Oreochromis niloticus: one gene and its partners. The protein of the gene in region 2 binds, or shares a complex with, the protein of the main gene of each other region. Links are inferred from orthologs where the notes say so. Each region holds a gene or a part of one and is shown on either strand. Other genes may lie near its edges. The genes, in order: fam91a1, tbc1d23 and stx16.

Region 1 (7,272 bases), on a different chromosome or scaffold from region 2:
CGGAGGACCAATATTATCCAAAGTTGTCAGTCTTGAGATAAAAAAAAAGGATTAATTCCAAATGAAAGACAGTTTAAGCATTACCCAGAGAGAAAATGGGTAGTGACTCAGGGAAGGGTTTCCAGTTAGGCGCTGTGGAGATTGCCATGAGGCCACTGTGTACATTCCTACAGCTAAGAATAGTATCCTGGGCCACTGTGACTCCAGCCGGGCCTCTCATGTGACACAGCGCTGTTTGGTACCCAGCTGCCAGCTTAACAACTCAGCCAGGGTCCAGCGGAGGGAGTGTTTACAATAGCCGCAGGAAGGGGAACCATCACAGGGTCCTGACTCAGCCATTGTTCCCACCCAGGCTGGTCTTTCATCAAAGTGTCCCCGAGCTGCTAAACCTTGTCCATCTTCTAGTGCCGTCCAAGTTCATCCCTCCTCCTCCTCTTCCCCCTTCCTCATGTGTGTAACCCAGGATGTAGTCAAATATAGAAAGGTGCTGATGGGTCACTTTGATCAGGAGAAACAGCTGTAAGAACTGGGCTCAGTTTTATAGGTGTGGTGGTGTTTCTGTTTGTGTCCATGAACGTGCACAACTGGACGTGACCACTGTTGCTATTAATCACCTGTTTGACAGTTAACTCGTTGCACTGTGTGTGTCAAATCATCAAGAAGTATTTGCCATACCTTTAAAAGTTGAGCAACCAAACGTGGGGCACAGGTACATTTTAGGCCCATGGAGGTCCACATTTATATCAGATATCATGATGTCATCATGTTGCCAGGTTGCTTGGCAACATGATGGCTAAAATGACTCATTACCGGCATTTATGCACCTGTAACACCTTATAAAAGCGTCATATAATTTTTATTTCGCATCAGTAACATCTAATTTCTATCCAAAAAAGCTGAATTATGTGTAATGATGTCATTATGTTGCCTGACAACCACATAGCAACTGGCCAAAACGACCCATTATTAGCAGTTATGTATCTCTAACAGCTTATAAAAGCGTCATATAATTTTTATTTCACATCAGTATCATCTAATTTCTATCCACAAAAGTTTAATTATGCATAATGAGTATAAAATGATGCAAAAAAATGCAGGCTACCTGTTTTGTAGCATTTGTGCACCTGTAGCACCTTATGAAACCATTCTTTCTTCTTTTTAATTTCATGACAGTACATAACTTACATCCAAAAAAGCTGAACTACATGCCTGGCAATCACCTAGCAACGGGCTACAGTCACTCATTTTTAGTACATAAACATCTGCCAGCCTATTTTTGAAAAACAGACCAAAAACTACTAGGATCAGCATTTACTACTTTCAAAAATACATGCAAATTTAAAAGGACGTAATACATTACAGAGAAGTGTTTTGTTGATAGCGATCGGTGACTCTGAAAGTTGAGGCCTGGACCTCAGTGCATTAGCAGGAGGAGAGTTAACTGTGAGGCTCATAAAATTACAAGCAGTTTATTAGTTAATCACTTTTTGTGACTCCCCCGTGTGTACTCAGAGTGTGAGTGAGTCTTACAATAATAAGTACTGTCTCTAGAGGAATTACATGATCAGTACATAAAGAATAGCTGTTGTAAGAAATTTAAAAAATTGATTATTAGACATTATTTTATTAATAAAACAAGCTGCTGCTGCTGTGAGAAGACATCATGTCAGATGGTTTGAAATGTAAATAAAGTTGACAGCTTGTTTCCTTTCCTTTTTATTATTTACATTAAACACACGCAGAGGAGTAAAGCTCAGGGTTACAGAAGGTCTGATCGCTGTTCACAAAGCAAATATGTCCTCTGCAGCTCACAGCAGTAATCAGGTTAGGTATTTATTTTAAGGTGAGTCATTGTTTGCTGTTGCATGGCTACAGCAGATCATACTTAGGCTTCCCCTTGCTGTTAAATCCCACTTTAACCCCTGCACATTAAAGCCTTGAGACTATGGAGAACTTTAACAGTATATTTTTAAAAATGTATATTTAATTAAAAAAAAGGAAACACTATTCTTCCACCTCTATGCTTCTAGTTTAGAAACAATGTGTGTTTTCACAGCTTTTATATCATACTGTAGCCTTAGATGAGGTGTTTCACAAGCAGACAACGCTTTATTTTAAGAGATCACACGCCAAAGAAGGCTGGGGAACACTGTTACAGAAATAGGCTGCAAAGATTTCCTTTCCTTCAGAGATCAGATTGAGCCTGTTGTGATATTTTTTCAAATCAATCTTGTGTGACTTTACAGAGACATTTAAACCTTCTTTTCCTTATATTATCTGTGAGCTATAATGTCATGAGGATTCTCAATCTGCAGCCCCTTTCTGCACTCCATGGAGTTATGCCGGTTGTCTGCCAGGGAGATGAATTACTGTCATGTTTGCTTAGCGGCATATGACAGGGAACTGAAGTTACGTGCAGGCAGATTGAATGACATAGCTGCAAGAAAGTGAGCTGTCAGCAAGCCAGATATCATGACCCAAGAGCAGAAGCCACTTTGGTGTTGCAGTGAAATCTTACACTGAATCACCAGTCACTAAGTGATAGTTTCATGCTTACAGGTCGGATTCCTGTAAGAACAAAACTGCAAATCAAACAAAAAACAACTCGTAAAAACTCCAGGTCAAGGTGCAGGGACAGATTTATGATTTTCTATTTTTAGTTAATCATACCGGTTTCAAACCTGAATTTTGCTTTTGTTTCTGCTGCTGAATAATGATCACATTAACCACTCACTGAAATATTGAAATATACTGTATATATTTTCTGACCAGAATGAAGATATGATAACAGACCTACTGGGACAGAAGGTATATTATCACACTAAGGGCTTTTTTATGGTGTGAAAATGAGAGAAAGACAGATTGGAGGACCTAAAAAATGAATGAATTTCTTTTCCAAAACGTAGTCCAGGTGATAGAAGTGTTTTAATAGATCATTTTGGCTTTGCACTTTTATGTCTCACAGGGAAACGATGGCAGCATTTCCAGCTACTTAACCTAATTATAACGCCCTGTGTTAAAGATGACTGTGTAGTTAAACCACCAATCCAGAGTTGTGCAGATGCAAACCTGACAGTTTGCATGTAGAACATGCAGGTAGAACAGGAGATTAAATGAGATAATTTATGTTTTTAACCAAATTTATCTGCAAGTATTGCACTGTGTTTTATTGTATTGTCTTTCTGTGAAGCTATAGTTGGTCATAAGTGGGACGATGATACTATGACAACATGTTGCCCACAGTTTGTGAATGTGAATGTTTGATACACAGGGGAGACTTGTAGAAAAAAGTGTTATGAGTACTGAAATTGGTTAGAAATAATATAAATGTATATGTACCAGACCATTTATCAACACCTATAGTATTGTTATATGCTACATCAAAATATCTGTGTCTGTGTGTATTATCATAATTTTTATATTTCAGTAATGCCCCCCCCCCCCCCCCCCCCCCCCCCCCCCCCCCCCCCCCAAGCTAACAAAGAGGAAGCAATAATAAGATACTGCTGTATCAATATTATGCCCCACACTAAATGCAAATACTCACAGTGTGAGTGTGAAAAATATGCTCATAGCCTACAGACATATATAATATTTACTCCAGTTTGTGCAGGATTCCAAAAACTTGCAGAGCCCTGCAGGTTTAGACTATTCCTTAGACTTTTCCCTCAAACAAAAGAATATATTTTCTGCATCATCAGTGATATGGACGGGCTCTGGGGGATGGAGGCCCATCCAAAAATGTCACTGTGCCTCTCAGCTGATTTTTTCTGACACTAAAGTCATATGGTTTAGTCATGAAAATTTTAACACATGTTATCGTAGTAACAACAAAGTAACAACAAAGCCCATGTTAATTATTTGGTTATTATTATTATTTGGTTATTATTGTCTCTGTGGAACTAAGAAGGTTATTGCTTTAAAGCTTTAAAGCACTGCTTTAAAGACAGCTTGAGCATGACCTCAAATGAGACTTATTAAAACAAATTATGTTATGCTGCACTCCCCAGTCAAAGTGGCCCATCCAGTCAGTCAGACACGGCCCTGACTCTCTGGTTTTAAAGCTTCACGTCTTCATTAGGAATAAAACAGGCTGCTGTGGGGGTGGAAAATGCTCCACGAGTGCTAAAAATGCTAAAAAATTAATAATGCAGTAATAATCGCACTTTAAGGATAAACCATTGATTCGGACGGCGCTAACATCATCTCTCATTTGAAACCCCGCTCTCTCCAGCTCCATTCAGCTCCACGGTCACTCCTTAACAGGAAGTGACGAAAGTAGCCACGAGCGTGACGAACGGCTCTTTCGAAAATACAACAAGGAAGTTACGGTTTATTGTGAAGGAAAATAATCGCTGGAGAAAAAAAATCTCCTAAAACCGGGGGTCCCTTCGCTCGGTTGCTGGGTGTCCGGGGGGGACGAGGTCACCGTGGACTTTCCCGAGAGCCCGTTTCCGATCGTCTCGAGGAATTCTGCTTGTAGCCAGCTAGCTAGCTAGCGATGAACACGGACGTGGAATTTCACATCAGGCAGAATTACCCGTGGAACAAGCTCCCAGCTAACGTCAAACAGGTACCGACTTCTAACGTTTCCTGTGGGTACGGAGAGAGGGGGGACACCGCAAGGGGAACCTGTCAATGTCACCGGGGCTGCTCTCTGTCATACTGGCAGCTGTCAGTGTCGCACTGCTCGCTCCCCGTCCTCTGCAGGGGCTTCACCATCCAGCCGGAGCCATAACTGACCATCATTACACTCCAGCTACTGAAGCCACACTGGCATCACATGACAGTTTGTTTGATTGGGTGGGGGTGGGGGGCACCACATGATTTTAGAGCGTGTATGGCACCCGCACATACGGCTTTTACGTAGTTGTGCCTGGTGCATTTAATGCTATTGAAATGTGCTGTTACAGTTAGTCAGTAAAATGCATGACCCCCCTTCTCTTCTTGTGCCACTACGCCAACATGTCTCGGTGAAGAGGAGGTGGGTGGATGAGCTGTTTGAGCTGCTGCATCCTCATGCACCCTCTGAAAAGTTGGATTACTCATCAGAAACAGTGAGACTCCAGGGGCCCCTGGTGTACACATCTGGCCTGATGTGCACAATATAACAAGTTTTCTCTCTCTCAAAACAGCTTCAGATACAATATTGAGCTTATGCCCCAATTCCATTGTTAATTTTTATTTAATTTAAAATATCTTTGCTCATTTTTTGTGTGAGTTAACATGAATCCAGGGGCTACCGTGGCTCTAAAACCTGTGGATTACATCATGACTTTGACACATAAACTGTTCAGTGAGGATCAGACAGGTTATTGCTGATATCTGATCTGCTTAAGGTCATTATTGGTCCAATACCAACCGGTGTATTGGCCTTGTAAGTAACTAGAAGTATGCTGTAGGCTGTAGGTATGCGCTACCAAAGCGCAAAATCAAGCTCAAGATGATGCTTCTTGTTTTATTACCTGCCTCCTAGCCTGTGTCAAATTCAAATCCCTCATTGCATCTTTGCAATTAATATGGTTTCACACGTTTCTCAACACATATGACATCACATCTAATAGCAGCAAATATTCCAGTATGGAAAAATATTTCACAGACAGCTGGAGAACAGGAGGTTTAAAAGAGGCACTGTTTGGTTTCACCCCCTGGCACATTAATGTGGTCTCACCTGTTCATTTTCCTTTCTCTGCAGAGTTTGGGGAACTCTCAGCGCGAGTATGAGAAGCAAGTGCTCCTGTACAGCATCCGCAACCAGCTGCGATTCCGCAATAACCTAGGTGAGCAATATTACCCCCCCCCACACACAGCAGTGGTAAACATACAGTGTGAGCGACATGATGTTTGAGTGTTAGATTAAAAGACAGACAGCGGTTTGTGGCAGGATAAATATAACCCCACCAGAGAGTGCTTGATGATGGGCAAAAACTTTCTCACCATACCACCTTGCAGAGAAACATACCCTAGTGCCATTTTATCATTGCAGTAAGACTTCTGATTTTATAAAAGTCTATGGGAAAACAGCACTAAGCTTCATGGCTCTGTGACCTCAGTAAACACTTCTCTGATGGAACTGTAATCCCACTCTCTGCTTTCAAAGCAAATTCAGCAAAACACAATGTTTATTTTGTAAATTATGGTCATAATTAGGAGGATAAACCAGGGCACGGCTATTGGATCCTGCTTGTCAGTTAGCGAGTGAGCATGCAGTGTCCTCTGGTTCCCAGTTAGAACTAACTTTCACTCATTATGTCAGGTTTCAAAAAAAGTTACAGCAAAAACAGTAAGCTCAAGGGTTAAAAATGGGACTTCACTCACCTGTGGGTGATGTCTTATTAGCTCTGTCCATGTTTTGTTCTGCCTTTGGTGTTGATCATAGGATTATCCTTCATATTTGTCCTGAAAAGGTAATATACAACTGAAAATACTTGTACTGTTAATAATCATACAGTGGCTAAACATGTGTATGTACCTGTATAATAAAGTGCATTATGTATTACATCGAATCACTTTAGTGATGTTGATGTTGAGATCATTTCTGTATGTGCACTCTGACTGCTGTTTGTTTTCTGAGCAGTGCGCCATGTGAGGAAGGATGAGCGCAAATATTATGAGGAGCTTCTGAAGTACAGCCGGGACCACCTGATGCTGTACCCCTACCACCTGTCTGACATCATGGTCAAAGGGCTACGAGTCACTCCGTTCTCGTATTACATAGGAATCATGGAGGTAAGCAACTCATGCTGCGTTGAAGAGTGCAATACCAGAGCATTAACTTTGCTCCCATTATCATAATCTCTGTGAACAGCCTCTCGTACACCTGAACATCTGTCGTTCTGTCAGTTCCCGTTGGTTTTAGAACAATGAGGCAGGTAAACCCAGAAGAACAGAGCAGACATACTTATTGTTCAACGGCAAAGGTTTTCTTATTGACTGAAAACATGCAGTCTCTGCTCATTTAAAATGAACAATGTCTTCAGTTTTTGGCATCCCTGGGAATGAGTGCAGGAACTGCAGGGACAAAACAAGGAATCCAAAAGACCAATACAAGTAGAGGGATCTGAGCTTTTCACAGCTCCCAGCTGTTTAGTTCAATGTGCTTTTGTTGCATGAATAGTACGAGTATACGGCATTGTTTGGTACACCTGAGTAGATGTGCTGGATTATTATGGTCAGCCTGCATAAAGGATAAATGGGTGTATTGTCATTGGCTACAATGATTGTGTGTTAGTTCATTTTTAACCTAAAAGGTAAGATTGAGGACGTCATAAG
Region 2 (7,491 bases):
GTTGTACCAGTCTGTTGTGTTAAAGAGAAACCTGACAATGAAGGGAATGTAGTTGATTAACTGGTCAATCTGCATTCCCACTCTCACCTATGATCAGAATGAGACTGCAGATACAAATGGTAGAAATGAGCTTTCTTCTTTTTGACGGCCGACTGCTCTAAGGGAGCCTTTTGAGGTAATCTGGGCATCTGAGCAGGATACCTCCTGGACATGTCATCGGTTTTAGGCATGTCCAACTAGGAGATGACCCTCAGGCAGACCCAGGACTCCCAGAGGAGCTAAAGAAAGTGACTGGTGAGGAGGAGGTCTAGGAATTTTGGCTTAGATGTGCTATCACAAAACAGATGCCCACTCCACAGAGTTGTTATATTCAGGCTTGTGAAACAGGTTGTTTAAAATCAGAATCCATTACTTTGTTTTGGTAAACGGAGTGCTTAGCTTTAAATATAAATAAATAAACAATTATATAACATATCAATAAAATGTAAATGTCTGGCCCATGATATTTTTTGTCATTTCACATGTGGCCCCAAGTGAATTTCAGTTTACAGTCTATGATTTATATGATGATTAATGGAGCAATTGAAGAATCTGAAAATGAAAGCAAAGTGCAAATTTTTTACTTTTAGGTCAGAATGTTTTCAGAATTTGACACAAACAACAGAAACTGCACCTACATTATTCTCATTTTTAAGGTTTTCCTAAAGTGAAAAAAGAAATCTTATATCTGCTCTCCTGCACTGATAAACACCTTTGTACTTTTTTGTTTGATTAATTTAAGCATTATTTGAACTTTTTTTAATAAACCAAATTATTCAATTTTATGAGGTGTAAAATTAAAGGCTCTCTGAACTTTACACAGTGACTAAAAGATAAGGTCTCCTAATGATATTATCAAACAGCCTATTATCAGACACAATAAACATCCCATTCAAAGCTGCTTTACAATTGGGTGTAGCCGATAACGTGTCTTTTCACAGGCTGGTATTTTGCATGCAAAGCCAAGACGAGTCAGTCACCAGTAACCTATAAGTAGCATCATTATTGTCATCCACATGCTTGACATACAATACTGACTCTTGTTATGTGATGTAAGACATAAGTGAAGTCTTTTCTTTGGGTGTGCCAATAAGAGATGATCCAGTCTACTCACACCTTAACGTAAGAATTCTTGGCTTCTGTCCATAGACGTACAAAGTATGTTGTACATGTCTAAGAACTGTTTGAAACCACAATCTAACAGCTGCAACTTTCTCACCTTCCACATCTTTGCCCTGTGTTCAGCTGACTGCTCCTGGACCTGGATGGTGCCCCTCTCCATCTCCATGTCTGAGCCACCAGAGTCAAGTGCGTCAACGAGGTCCTGGTCCCTGAAGAGCAACGAACGGCACAGTTACAATCCCACAAAATATAAAGAGAAAAGTTCATAGGCTGAAAACAAAACATGAGATTTGAAGAGTTCATTTTAAGGTAAATTATTATGCCAAGATTCAGAGTAAACCCATACAAAGGCTCACTGATGCAGAAACAATATTATTACTAATAATACCACTATAAACGACAAAACTGCCAGTCTTCAAAATTGTGTTGTACTGCCCATCCATCTTCATACATCCATACATCCATCTTCCTGAGGGGGCTGCAGTGTATCCCAGTTGTTATAGAGCAAGAAGTGGGGTACACAATGGACAGGTCGCTAGTTTGTCGCAAGGCTAACAAAGACATTAGACAACCATTCACACACATATTTACACCTTTAGAATCAGCAGTTAACCTAACTGTTGAAGCGAGAGTAGTAACTCAGACAGACACAGAGAACATGCAAACACAAAGAAAGACCCCGGGCAGATGGTGGATTCAAATCCATGACTTTCTTGCTGTGAGGCAACAGGGTTAACAACATGCATTATTGTTAAATTCATATTTAACTCAATCATTATTCACATCTGTGTAATTATGTAAATTATGTCAGCTTTTACTAAATGCCCTGTGTTGTTTATTGCTCTTAATTTACATCTTAATCTTTTTTTAAACCCATGTTAATTTAACTCAGCATACAGACAGGTGACAAACTCAAGAGGAAAACAATACAGCAACATCATAAAAAGCAACATCAGGTCAGGACAGCTTCCCTGTGAATCTGTGTGTTGGTTCTCCAAATCTCTAAAGAGATGAACACCATTTTTAGATATTTCCTCATCTGGCGTTTTGATGAAGGCGGAAAAGAACAGTGTCTAACGCATTTGTTCAAAATCTCCGATGACTGTATATATACACATATATACTCATGGAACTCCTCAGTGACCCCTTGTGCACTATGACAAATGGCAGTGTCACAGAAGAGATCTTTCTTAACAAAGTAGAAACATTTCACGATAGATCTGAATGGACACGCACCAACAGAGCCCTCTCTGCAGGAGGTCCATAGTTCAGGTTTGTCCTTTAATCTGACACATGAAGACCGCTTTCACGATGCTAACCATCTTAATGGCAGCTGCTTTAAAAGTGTTTAGATATAACCAGCACTTTTCAATATTTCAGTGTAAAATAAATTTTGAACAACAGAGTGAGGCTGGAGTAGATTAAAGGGAAGCGGCTGTCCGCCTAAATATTAGCTGTCCGGCTAACATCCTTTGCTACTAAACTTCCCACTGAGGTAGAGAAACCGACAAAAATGTAGACTTCGTCACCGAACAGACTTAAAAGCTGTTATTTTATCTGTCTGAGATTTATCGACCGTTAATTTATCAGAGCCGGGTTAGCTAATTGTCATTTAGCTGGCTAGCTGGTAAGCAGTAACGTCACCAAACTCCAACACTATTTAGAGCACAAAAACTCATCTTTAGTTACTTTACACGGAAATCTGTGACAAAAATTCGACGCGATTGTCTGACAATCGAGACAAAGGCTCCGGAAATATTAACTCAACAACAAATTGTCTCACCAGCTGCCCTGAAGAGCTTCCTCCACGGCATCCGCCATTGTTGTGTTGACGGAGACACGTCAGATGTCGTCAACACGCCCGGTATGCGCGGTGACGTCAACGAACAACGAGGAACCGAGATTGACAAGTGAAATCAAAGTGCGACTAAGAAACTGATGAGACAACTACTTGTTTGCTTTGATTTGGGGCGCTAAAAAGTTAATAATTGATCAACAAACAGAGAAAAACAGAAAACATCATCAACATGTGCTGACTTCCAGTGTTGGTCAAGTTACTTGAAAAAAGTAATCAGTTACTAATTACTGATTACTTCCCCCAAAAAGTAATCCCGTTACTTTACTGATTACTTATTTTCAAAAGTAATTAATTACTTAGTTACTTAGTCCCAAGAGTCCATATTCATATTTATGGTGCAGGAGATTTATCCTAAAGCACCTGTAAGGTCACGCTTAAGTGTTTTTTATAGATTAGCGATTTTAAAATGGCCCCTCAGAAAAAGATCTAAAATCAGCCCTATCTTCATAAAATTCCTCACAGTAGGGGCTTGAAAGTTTGCAAAATTCCTATTTAAGAAATCTGGGAAGGTCAGGTGTGAGGCCTTTTAGGAAATGCTATGAAATCACCCTATAAAGTCTGTTCAATAGACATATCTTTAATACTTACGTGTGCTACTTAGCAAGAAAATCAGAAAAACTGTAAAATTATATCAAAGTTTCAGATAATCAGAACAAAATTTCGTTTCTAACTACAGGGATTTAAAAACAATGTGCTGCACAATCCGGGTGAACAGAAATGATCAGATGCAAAATTCAATCCAAGAATTATAACTTTATTAGGACTCATTCTCTTTCACTTTGGTCACCACACGTATGGTAGATGCAGAATGTCAGTGTATTTTATATCAAACAGCCAAAATCTAGGTCACATCCATGTTCTGAAGGTTAAGTAAATATGGTTTTAGTTGGAGTCAGTCTCACCAGCTGCAGCTCACAATGCATGATTTGGTTCCTTGGCATCACCACACATGCAGTGATAGTTTACTGGGCGTGAAACTAATGAATGTCACAGAGAACGGGAGCTTTTCAATGCTTTTTAAAAAAAAAAAAATGCTCCAGATGTACAATCATCAGTGGTGCACAGATGCTACTTGAGAACCAAACCACACACCGTACCAAGAGATTCTCAGAGCTGCATAGGCTGGAGACGATAAGGCTCGGGTTGTTTGAAAAGGAGAGATGAAAAAAGCAAATTAGAATTAAACCACTATGTAAAATATTCTGTCAAAAGTAAAAGGAAATGTAGCATGAAGAAAAAAAATTCACAGAAACTAGAAAAAGAATCAGGTTTCCCAATTAACATGAGCTGGGGAAAAACCACTGAATACCGTTCTGACACTAGAGGCAACTCCAAATACAACATTTAAAAAAAAGAAGAAGAAAAAAACTAAAAACAAAGTTGGCTAAGTTTGTCTAATCAGTGTTTTCAAAAAAACCAAAAGCCTGAAAAAGGGTTTTCCTAGTGTTCAAGACAGCACGAGCATTGCATTTACATTTATTTATAAAGTGAACATGCTGCACAAAGTATATAAAAAAGAAAACAGGCAATCCCACCATTTAAAACAAAAGAAAAAAAAAGACCAACTTTGCCTAAACTCTGTAGGCTTTTATCCCGGGATCAACTCCAGCATTTCAATACAGACATTGTACATTTGACTATAATTTTAATCTTGCATTCAGAACTGATACTGTATGTTACAATATGGGAGTAGGTGGACAAAAACACTTTAGACCAGCATAAATTAACAAGTGAACAGTCCACTGGAACTATATAGCTCTCACAGTATTGTCTGTAGATTTAAAAGTGTCTCAAAACGCTTGTGGGTTCAACAGACTGGACATTTCAATTCTCTCTAAATCTTCTGACAAGTATACATCTCACTCATGTACACTTTCCCTCCATAAATGACAACCTTTATTTTCATTCTGAGCCATAAAAATCAAAGATTTGACGATGATGCCATTGTGGAATTAAGTGTCAGCAAAAAGGGCGGTGTTCGTTAAAATACCCCCCACCCACCCCCAGCCCAGCCCAGCCCACATCATGATAAACCACTGAGTCTACCAGAGACCACGATCATAGCCTCAGTTTGACTGTGAGTACGAATCCGGTTTGCATGAAAATAATCCCCTTTAATGTGACGTAAACACAGTATATATTCAGGGTTCTTCCTTTTTTTCTTTTTTTAAATTCCCCCCATATCATCCAGTATTTATTTTTTTAACAAATCAAAGTTAAGTCAGACAGTTGCACTTTTAACACAGTTAGATTCAGCAATGAAGACTGAGATTGGCGATCCATTGGCAAAACGGTTACAGCGTCGGAGGTTTCAGCCCGTACTTCCTCGCCACTTCTGTCTGGGCGTAGGCGGCATCACATAACGAGTATAAGTGGGCCATCTCCATCTCTGACTTCGCTAGGTTAATTGCTTTGTTGAACATCTCTATCGCCTTGTCAAGATTGCCCCTGTGAAAAGAAAACACTCCAGTTATACCAAGCACTCGAAAAATGTGTAGATTTGATCATTTTTACCACCACAGGGATTTTTTCCCAGGGACTATGTGTTTCCATTGCAGTCATCAGAGTATTAAGTTCTTGGAGGAATCATTCTTTTGGGAGCTGCAACTTCACACTCGGCTGTGAACTGCTGCAGTGCGAGGTGGAGGCCACCACCTGCTAAAGCCAACAGAACCACATCATCTAAGAAAAGCAGAGATGAGATTCTGAGGCCGCCCAAGTGGAAGCCTTCCTTCACTTGGCTACACCTAGAAATTCTGTCCATAAAATCATGAACAGAATCAGTGACAAAGGGCAGCCGTGGTGGAGTCTAACACCCACCGAGAATGAGTTCGTCTAAATTGTCAGCTATGCACACCAAGCTCTTGCAACAATTGTATAAAGATCGAATGGCTCCTAGCAATGGGCCAGACGCCCCACGACAGGCACCCAGAGCTTAGTACAGCAGCTTCAGCAATAGAGGCGCTCTCAGTCTGTTCCTGTCTCTTTCAGACTGCTGCTGAAGCTCTGCCGGAGATGGGAGTTAAAGATCTCGCAGACCGGGGCCTCTGTCAGGCATTCCCAGCACACCCTCACTATAACATTAGGCACGTCAGGTCTGTCCAGCATCCTCCCCCATCACATGATCCAACTCACCACCAGGTGGTGATCAGTTGACAGCTCAGCCCCTCTCACTGTTGTTACCCACATGAGCGTTGAAGTCTGTCAGTAAGATGACAGAGTCCCCAGGGGCTTGAAGAAGGCCGGATACACTGAACTGTTGTTCAGGTGAGTGCAGATGACAGTCAGCACCCATTCCCTGACCCAAAGGTTCAGGGGGGAAAAAAACCCCTCTTGTCAATCGAGAAAAGCCCAATTTACAGGCAGCAAGTTGAGGGGATACTAAGATACCCACCCCAGCCCACAGCCTCTCACCACGGGCAAGTCTAGATTGAGACAGAGTCAAGTCCCTCTGCAGGAGACGGGTTACAGGATTACAATATTTCCTATTCCTCCTTTCCCTCTGTTGATCCAGGGGTCATAACATTAACAAGGGCTCATCCAGCCCCAGGATTCTGTCACACCTGAAGTCAGAATCAGATCCTTAAACCTCAAACATGAGGTTTGTAACACTTCAACCAGCCTGTTCAAAATGGTACAAATATATTCCTTTAGGGGCAACACAAAAGCACACAGCACAGCAGCTGACTGCTTTCTCTCAATTAGTGTTTTATAAAGAAGAAAAAAAGCACACTATGTGACTCCCTAAAACATCTTGACAGAAATACCAGCATGCTACCATTTTTATCTTTGTACAACTGAAAACATTACAAAGCAGCAGATAAATCCTCCCTGGGAATAAACACTCAGATACTGTGTGACTCACCTTTGAACTTCAATGGTTCCCATGGTTTCATAGGCAAAGTCACATTTGTTGTCGATCTCAATTGCCTTACTGATGAGGTCGAGACCCAAGTCGAGATCCTGTTTCCACTGAAGCTGCAACAAACTGGAGACAGAGTGAACAACATGTCACATTTACACAAACAAATCAGATATTATATGGATCAATATGGCCACATAACAGGGGAGAAACCCTTACCCCTTGTGGACATATGTTGTAGCATTGTCTGGTTCCAGTTCAATACACTTGTCGTACATCTCATCGGCTTTTCCAAATTGCTGCTGATCAGTCAAAGCCTGAGAAGTACACAGGAGGACTGGTAAAAACGTGCCAGCCAGGCATAAATACCATCCCAATAGGATTATAATGCTTTCACTAAAAATAAATCACTGCACATATTAACCACATTTCCATACAAATCTGGGAAATGGTAAGGATTTATGGGTATTTTGAATACATATCGTGAGGAGTTGGCCAAATCAAGATAAGCAGTTTTGTTACTATAAAGTATTACAGACAAAAAAAAAAAAGAAGACTGCAAATAAGTATTAAAACAGAACAGAAACACATGGTATTACTATTTCATGTG
Region 3 (8,022 bases), on a different chromosome or scaffold from region 2:
AGACATTTGTTACAGTACAAGAAGGAGACTGAACCTACACTTCGCACTTCTACCTACATTTTTTAGCCATTTCAGACACATATCGGATAAAGCGGTTGGAGCAGTTTCATTGAAGAAGAGACTAAAAAATTTGAACAGATATTGAGAAGACGCTCATTCGGTCACAAGAGATTGTCTGTAAATTTCTATTCCGTTCTTCACTGGCAGCTAATATCCTGCTGAGTAAAATGCTCATTACGACATTTTCACTGTGAATGGTTAACAGCGAACTAAATCTATCTGAGAAGAGATGATGGGTACAGAGATAAAGTCAAAAAACAGGTGTGCAGGCATGCAGAGGAGGTAGGGTTGGGATGGGAACCGTTCCAGTTGAGAACCAGCATTAAATTTTCTATTCCCCTGGAATCTTGTGCATCAGAGCTTAACAATGCCTTTCGTTAATGCTGACATGTTTTTCTGACAGCTGACAGCAAAGTGATTGGGCTGGAGTGTTTCCACGTGTGAGCCTTTTCTCTACTCTGGTTCTACACTGTGCTTGGACGAAGAGATTTTTTCAAGCAGAAAATTAATAAGGAATTAATATTTCAAAAAATCTTTATCAGTGTATGACCCAACACATTTCGGGAGTGTAACTATCCAAAGCCAAATTTCTGGGCTTTTTAACACCAGCTGTTCTGTAGATGAAACAAAATGCCAAGAACTGACTGAGTAATCTTTTTTTTTTGGTTCTTGGAAGGAAAAATAACAGACAGCGTATGACAAGCCATGTGCCCTATTAGGCATGAATCACCCTCCAAAAAAATGAAGCCACAGCAATGCTTCCATCTTCCTCACTCTGAGCTTGCTCCCTGTTGCTCCTGATCTAAACCCAAACAGGACACTCTTACAGAGAGGTAGTGTTGTTCCAGGAGCAACAGCCATTTAAAGGGCTCCACTCTCTAGATGTGCCTGAAGAAATCACTTGTGTTACTGAGAGATCAGCATTTCCACTTCGCTCGGTGCCACGGGGAGTGGCAGCTAAGTAACAAAGGTCGGTTTTGTTACTAAAAATTTTCCCCAAACAAATGCAGAATGTGTTAACCGTGATCTCTGGGCTTCCAGCGGGAAGAAACTAATCTACACCAGCGAGCCGGTAGCATGATAAAATGTTCACAGCAGAGTGTGAATATTCACGTGTAGCATACACCTGCCCGCTTTAAGAAGCTTCAAAACTGTGTCAGGGAAAGTAATGACTTTTTACTGCGGTGGAGTTTAACCTAAAAATATAAGTAGGTCATGGAAGAATTTTTAATTTCAGTTTGTTTGTTTTTTTGCATCAACATTAAATACAGTCTTTTTTTTTTTTAATCACTGCTAGTCAAAAAAAACATGCCAGCATTTAATGTTTTAGCTCTCCAGCAATGAGCTCCATGCAGTGGCTGCTGTTTTTAGAAAAAAAGAAACTAAATCATTATTCAGTGTCATGGAAATCACTATCAGAAAGAACAGCTCTGCTATAGAGGAACATATAACTATATTCTTCTTGTATCATGATCACTAAAAAGCCCACTTGCTTTTCATTATAACTGCATTATATAGACAAAAGTATCTGGCCACACTTCTTAATCATTGCTTTTATGAGCTTTGGCCCTGAACTCTTACTTCCAGAGAAGGGAAATCTGAATGCTCCAGCTTATCAGTTAATAAAAAAATCGGAAGCTGGAAGTTTAGAATTGTGCACCATGATAAAGTTCATATTCTGTTTCAGTATGACTGTGCTCTAGTGCACAAAGCATGGTTGGATGAGTTTGGTGAGGAAGAACCTCACTCGTCCACCTACACAGAGCACACTGAACTAGAAGAGAGACTGCAAGCAACCAACATCAGCGTCAGATGGCACAAGTGGCCTTCTGCTTAAATGGGCAAAGAGTCCACGTGTTGAAATGGAAAAGTGTAGCAATCAATTTAGAATGGGGTGTTATAAAAACTACTGAGAATGTAATATGTGGGTGGGTGGCCCAGTACTTCTGTCCATATAGTGTAATAATTAAAGTATAGATAATATTTCTCAGTGACAAACATTTTCTAGGAAGCTTTAAGAGCATTTTCATTGCCTTTGCTTTTCAAACTATTGTATTTATTTTTTTAATAACTGCAGAAGAGAATCAGCTGCACTCTAGATCATTTACAGGTCACGACTCAGTATGATGCGGACTTTTGAAAGGCCACAGCAGTTTTTTGTATTGTTTTTTTACAGTGAGGCGCACGAGAGGATGCTAAGAAAATGAAATCAACCATAACCCTCAGTTAACCTTGACCTAATTATATATATATATATATATATATATATATATATATATATATATATATATAAATATTCTTGTCATTTAAAAAGGGCGGTTATAGACATTTAACTAGCTAAAAGCATGCCTGCAACACTTCTTCATCCTCCTCCATCATCGCCTCACTGAGTCACATCACTGCGAACCACTGAAACACTAACGTCGTGGAGGTCGTTCAGGATAATAACTAACAGCAGCTATCACACAGCTGGATCTAGCTAACAGGGATCGGTGACTGGCTATATGCAAACACACACAGTAAAATGTCAAAACGATGCAGACCACTCACCGCAGCATTGCTACGTGTACTCAGACGGGGGTCGTATGTACTCACTTGCTCAGCCAATATCTGCCGGTTTTGGATTGCATTGTTCCGCATTAACAAGAAGGCATCTGTCAGACGCCTAGTGGCCATGACTGCCTTGACTGCGTGATAATCTAAATTAACAAGGGGACAAACTGCGGATCGAAAGATGCTTTATTAAATTGAGCCAACTGCCTCTGACCCGCTGCTAACACGGCGCTAGCTTTAGCTTTGCTTTGCTTTGCCTGCGATGAATGGTGAGGAAAACTCGCGATGCAGCGCCTACAGCGGGAGGCACACGGCCTGAATCATGTTGATCCGCTAACTCGCTCTAATACTGAGGTAAAGAAAACTAAACATGACCGAGACTTTCTGGTGAAATGTCCGCTTTAGCGTCAGACTGGTAACGTTGTTACTCCGCTTTAGGTAGCTACGGAAGTAGGAGAACGTAAACATCTGCGTAAACCAATTCTTCTTCTGCTCATTAACTGCGCTATCATCTGTAACGGAAGTGAGTCTACGCCACCTACCGCTTCAGCTGAGAACATCAGACAGAAGCGTTTCCAGGGCGGCACCAGGAGGTCCAAAACCTGTTAGGGAAATTGGAAATAAAAACCAAACAAAAGCACTTGAAAACTGGTTGTAAATTCAGTGAGTTTACATTAGGAGACATAACAGCCTAGCTGTAACATAGCGGCCTCCCTGAAGCACAAGGTTTAGCAGTCTTATACCGGGCTCATTGAAGACATAACAAAAAAGAGACTGCCACAAATTAAAAATTTTTACTGAGCCAATTTATTAATCATAATCTGAGAGAAGATGAACAAAAGAAAGCTAGGTGCTAACCTATAGACTTAAAATAGGAAAAACTATGACACATGCAAACGAAAAGAAAACCAAGTTGGCTGCCTGAAAGGCACCAGCCTTCTGGGGCGAGGAGAGTCATTCAGGTATCAGCAGCATTATACTGCAGCATATACTTGGATACAGCCAGGACAATGCTTGGCATATGACAAATACACAAGACTGGCAGTACAGATTAAAGGTTTTACAGTTTTACAACTATTTACTTTCATCTTTCATCTTGGATTGTTAAATTAGGGTTGCCAAGGCTGCTCTGACTTTCCAAGTAGGAAATCCGAGTTGTTGGTGTTCAAGCTTTCAAAAATCTAGAAACTTATTGTTTTCTATCAAGAATGAAAGCAACATAGAAAACAGGGTGTTACACCTCCTTATCCGGCTTTCAAAAACAAGAATTGGATTTAAAGTTTAAATTTAATGTGGCTTTTCCCTTACCCACACATTAGGCAATTTTTTTAGGGAATTTCTAAATGCCTCGAGTAAAGTCTTTCCCCCAACGTATTCATTTAAAATTGAGCTTTTTTTTTAGACTGAAAAGGAGAAATACTGGAAATGTGCTTACGTGGAGATTTACATATGTTTATACAGAGTAGAGTGTTATGCATCATGATGCTACCAAGGCACAGATTTTCCTCAGTTTGCACCTGAAAAGAACCACGCAACTTTATTTTGTTGGCTTCATGAGGGCACCTGTTTAATTCATCCTGAGGTACCATGAGTGTCTGTACCAACCTTTGAGTCAATCAGAGCAGGGCTGATATTTCAGAATGACTGATATTTGTCAAGTACTCTTTTACAGTGCACATTGTGAAAAATGCTTGAGATTTCTTTATAAATTGTGTAATAACTTGTGTAATTTGTTTCCCCAGTAGATGGGCTCTGTCTTACTGTTTACAATAATTTCAGCAGTTTCTGCAGTACATGTAGCAGAATAGCATCAACCAATAACGTGGTGGTGGGGAGGCATCTTCACTCAAAATAACTAGCACTGTGAAATTCATTGATAGAATCTGAAAACAATGCCCCTGTCATCTTTTCACTTTAACACTTTAACAATATGTATAAATATAATAAATATAAATATATAAACTTATATACTCGCCCATTCACTGCACTGCTACTCTTTTAAGCAAATATGTAATCATGCAATCACATGGCAACAACTCAATACACTTAGGAATCCAGACATGGTATGGTCAAAATTTGGTGTAAATAATCTGAAAGCATGGATCCATCCTGCCTTGTATTAGTGTGAGTTCATATATGTATAAGGATTTTATTATTTTCTAAATATTGGCATTGACTCCAAAACCCACTGGTAACACCAAAGAAAAAAGAACACCATTTAAACCAAGAACATTTAACAGTTTAACAGCTGCCCCCTCAATAAAAAGATCTCTCGACCCCACCAACGTCTGTCTGTGGCATAATGTCCACATGTGAGAGGTCCCGATTTACGATAAAAAGTCATGTTTTGCACCAGAAGTCATGATTTACAACAAAAAGTCAAAAGAACATTCAGGGTGGAAAACATACTGTGAACAGTCCACGCACAAGTGGGACTAAACTAAAAAACGACACGTGAAAGCCGCTTCACCGGTTTGTACTCTGAGTTTTCATTCATTCACACCTGCTCATGCATTCCGCTACTTTCTAACTTCCAGCCTGACAGCCGCAGTATTTAGATGTGTTGACCTGTAAGGGTACAATAGCGCTAACGAGTGTGCGCGCGTGCGCCTTTCTGTGCGCGCACGCGCTAGGCGGTGCCACTATTTGTAATTATGTCGCTAAAAGCTCCTCCTCCGCCCATTCTTAATCCCTTATCCGCTAATACCGCAGTAGACATTCACCCACAACTACCAGCTGCCGTCAAACAGCATAGCAGCGGTGTGTGCTGCTGGAGAAGCCCCGAGAGACTTTATTCGCTTCTTTTTTCCCCACCCTCCGTCCGAGGAGAGAGAGTCAAGGTAAGAAGCCTGTTAGAGTTCACGAGCACTCCTCCTCCTGTCCGAGCACCTGTGCAGCATTTCGAGAGCGGAACAAGTTAAAATATTATGTATATGTGTGTCTTTGTGTGTGTTGGTGTGTGTGTCAGCCTGTCTGACGTCCTGGCTTCACATTATAATCCTGTTTGATGGATGCCCCCTTTTAAAATGGGTCTTAATTGCTGCTTTGCTCATTAAACTGATGGGAAGTTAAAAAGTGGTTTTAGCCGGACAGGCACACCTGCACAACCAGAAAATCTACAGGCCAGTGTTACATCTACTCCTCCACTTCTCTGCTGCTGGCAGTTGATCGACAGTAGTCACAATCTGAAGCTCTTTATGTTATTAATTGTTACTTCTCAGCTATTCATCCCAAACTTTTCCCCATTCTCTATGTTTACAGGGTGATACGATCTGATTTTAACTACTCTTTCCTGGAAATCAGCAGTGGTCAGTTGAGCAATGTTGTTTTAATAGCAAGTTTTTGGTAGATTGGTATCCGTTAAGAAATGCTCCTTTGTGGCAGTCCCAGGAATGAAGGCAAACCAGTTCTGCTGACACAAAACACAGAACATGACGTAAAACATGTTACATGTATGGCTGCCTCCTAGTTTCTGCAGTCTCAATGGCCGGGTTAGTGCTGTATCTCGGTGCTGCCTGTGTTATCGACACCTCTGTGAATGTCCAGTCATTGTTCTCTCATTCTTCAGGCAGCTGACCGGGATGGCCTCCTCTGATGATACAGAAGGGTCTCTGACTCCTGTGGATTTTATCCAGCTGCAGCACTACATGGAAGGTAAGTTTCCATTTTCTACATTGTTTTTTAACCTGTAAGTAAAATAAACTGGAATAATAATCATAATAATAATAAAGTTGACATGTTTATTACAGATTAAAAATGTATATACAAATCCCTTTACACCAAGCACTTGATGCACACAAGATACACTATTGTGTATGTATCAAAGACATAAAACTAAAGCAGTGAGTGATTACTGAGGCCAAAGACGACAGCGTCCAGGACAGAATATTAAAACAATGTGTGCATTCAAACTGTAATTAGAGCCACGCAAGTCTCAAGTGCATTCTCACTAATAAAATGCAGTGTAACTCAATACTCTGGCAAATTTCCCTGTTAAATTAATAAAGCAGCAGTAGCTCAATATGCCATTTATTTCGCAGTGTCAGTTTATGACTGTAAATCTATTTAAAAAAAAAACCCATCCATGTACACTGAATTCAGCTTTCACTTTTCTGAGGATGAACTGGCCAGATGTGGCTATGATAGCTCTGCTCTCGATCTGTGTAACTGTCTTCCATCTAATCTCAACCCTAACACACAGACACTGGAAACCAAGTCACACATTTACAAAAAAGTGTAATTTTTACTTTATTTTACACTTTTGTTTCACTCCTTTTTAATGAATTAAATATCTGAGCACTAGACGATGTGAGAATAAATACTGGAAGTCTTCAGAACAATTTATGGAGGCAGTGAAACATAAGCAAGATAAGTGGAGACGGGAGTGTCACAGGCAAAGTCCAACAAAAATATGAAAAGTTAACTTCGTAGATCTAAGGCTGCAACACCTGTGCACTCTGCTCCTGCATGTAGGCGGAAATATTTCTGTTAAAATTGCAGTCGGGATCACTGCCTTACTTTAATGCTACTCATTCAGCATCCACCCCAAATCACAAGCAGCAACTCCCAAACATAAGTGCATGCTGTCCCTCTGCTGGGGCTGGAGCGAACGCAGAATGACATGCACATGTTGACAAAAAAAGTGTGCGCTAAAGGGCTGAAAATAATCCACTGTCCACTCAAAGGCTTTAGAAGAAATGAAATGGGTCTGTAGGCTTTTAGTGTTTGCACGCTGGATAATGGATGAATGGATAATTACACTTGCTCCTCTCCAGACCTGGGAAAGGTGCTGTGTGTGCATTACCTCACACTGCAAGGCCCAAACCCAGATTTAATGGCTGATAGTCACAGTGTATCCACATCTACAGCTACGTTTTGACCACTCTGATCTTCTCCCTGCAGAGAGCAATTTGAGGGTGAAAGATGTGATTAAGGAGTTTCATCCAGGCGGTCGGTTCTCTAAGCACAGCTTTGGAGAGGTAACTTTTTTAGGCAATCATATACTATATTTCCCATGTCAAATGTTCCTAATACACTACTTATTACAAACAAATCAAACATGAATTTATTAATATTTCTTATTAGTTGTAAAAGTTTGTTGTACCTCTCAATGTGCTTGATTAAAAACAGACAATCTTTTTAGGAAGCTTTCTACCACTTTTTTATGGCATTTTCTAAAAATCATAGTCAGATTGTCGCTATGAATGTAAATGTTTTATCCTTTTGCGTCATTTGGAAATAACTTCAACTTCTCTCTTCAGTGCGTCGATGCCGAGGGCTTCTGTCTCTTTCTCAAGACCTACTTAGAAGTGGAGGACTTCCCTGCAGATTTCTGCCAGCGGCTTTTTCGTTATTTCCAAAACGTGGAGCAAAACGGCTCCTCGAAGAGCCCTCAGCCCAAAGAAGGTG

The links.
Region 1: the proteins of tbc1d23 (region 2) and fam91a1 are in contact, whole or in part, in a crystal structure (PDB 8JJ9), measured with the Homo sapiens proteins. The link is inferred for Oreochromis niloticus from reciprocal best matches to the Homo sapiens genes TBC1D23 and FAM91A1. Residues at the interface, in NP_001186127.1 of Homo sapiens: Arg533, His534, Val535, Ser536, Ser537, Asp539, Val541, Gly542, Lys543, Pro544, Tyr545, Arg546, Val548, Pro550, Val551, Phe552; in NP_659400.3 of Homo sapiens: Arg49, Glu60, Arg61, Tyr64, Asp84, Ile85, Lys88, Gly89, Leu90, Arg91, Ile92, Thr93, Phe95, Ser96, Ile159, Pro161, Tyr176, Ile177, Thr178, Glu179, Asp181, Ile182, Lys190, Asp194, Ile197, Asp198, Tyr216, Asn217, Lys218, Gly219.
Region 3: the proteins of tbc1d23 (region 2) and stx16 are in contact, whole or in part, in a crystal structure (PDB 8QQF), measured with the Homo sapiens proteins. The link is inferred for Oreochromis niloticus from reciprocal best matches to the Homo sapiens genes TBC1D23 and STX16. Residues at the interface, in NP_001186127.1 of Homo sapiens: Leu638, Asn639, Ser640, Val641, Val642, Lys643, Ile644, Thr645, Ser646, Lys647, Lys648, Ser661, Ser662, Ala663, Ile666, Thr683, Lys687, Ile690, Met691; in NP_001001433.1 of Homo sapiens: Asp209, Asp210, Asn211, Thr212, Leu213, Tyr214, His215, Arg216, Phe218, Thr219, Glu220.

Annotation. Positions count from the first base shown.
Region 1 is NC_031985.2:21,449,109-21,456,380, forward strand, and holds the start of fam91a1 (protein FAM91A1), read left to right. Parts: upstream 1-4,256; 5' UTR 4,257-4,501; coding exon 4,502-4,573; intron 4,574-5,695; coding exon 5,696-5,780; intron 5,781-6,577; coding exon 6,578-6,729; intron 6,730-7,272. UniProt on the Homo sapiens protein: As component of the WDR11 complex acts together with TBC1D23 to facilitate the golgin-mediated capture of vesicles generated using AP-1.
Region 2 is NC_031980.2:37,092,942-37,100,432, reverse strand, and holds the start of tbc1d23 (TBC1 domain family member 23), read right to left. Parts: upstream 3,099-7,491; 5' UTR 2,983-3,098; coding exon 2,945-2,982; intron 1,371-2,944; coding exon 1,259-1,370; intron 1-1,258. Other genes in the region: tomm70a (mitochondrial import receptor subunit TOM70), read right to left, coding at 5,314-5,467, 6,885-7,007, 7,101-7,198. UniProt on the Homo sapiens protein: Putative Rab GTPase-activating protein which plays a role in vesicular trafficking. Involved in endosome-to-Golgi trafficking.
Region 3 is NC_031970.2:24,759,261-24,767,282, forward strand, and holds the start of stx16 (syntaxin-16), read right to left. Parts: upstream 3,102-8,022; 5' UTR 2,737-3,101; coding exon 2,611-2,736; intron 1-2,610. Other genes in the region: dgkab (diacylglycerol kinase, alpha b), read left to right, coding at 6,182-6,267, 7,516-7,592, 7,875-8,019. UniProt on the Homo sapiens protein: SNARE involved in vesicular transport from the late endosomes to the trans-Golgi network.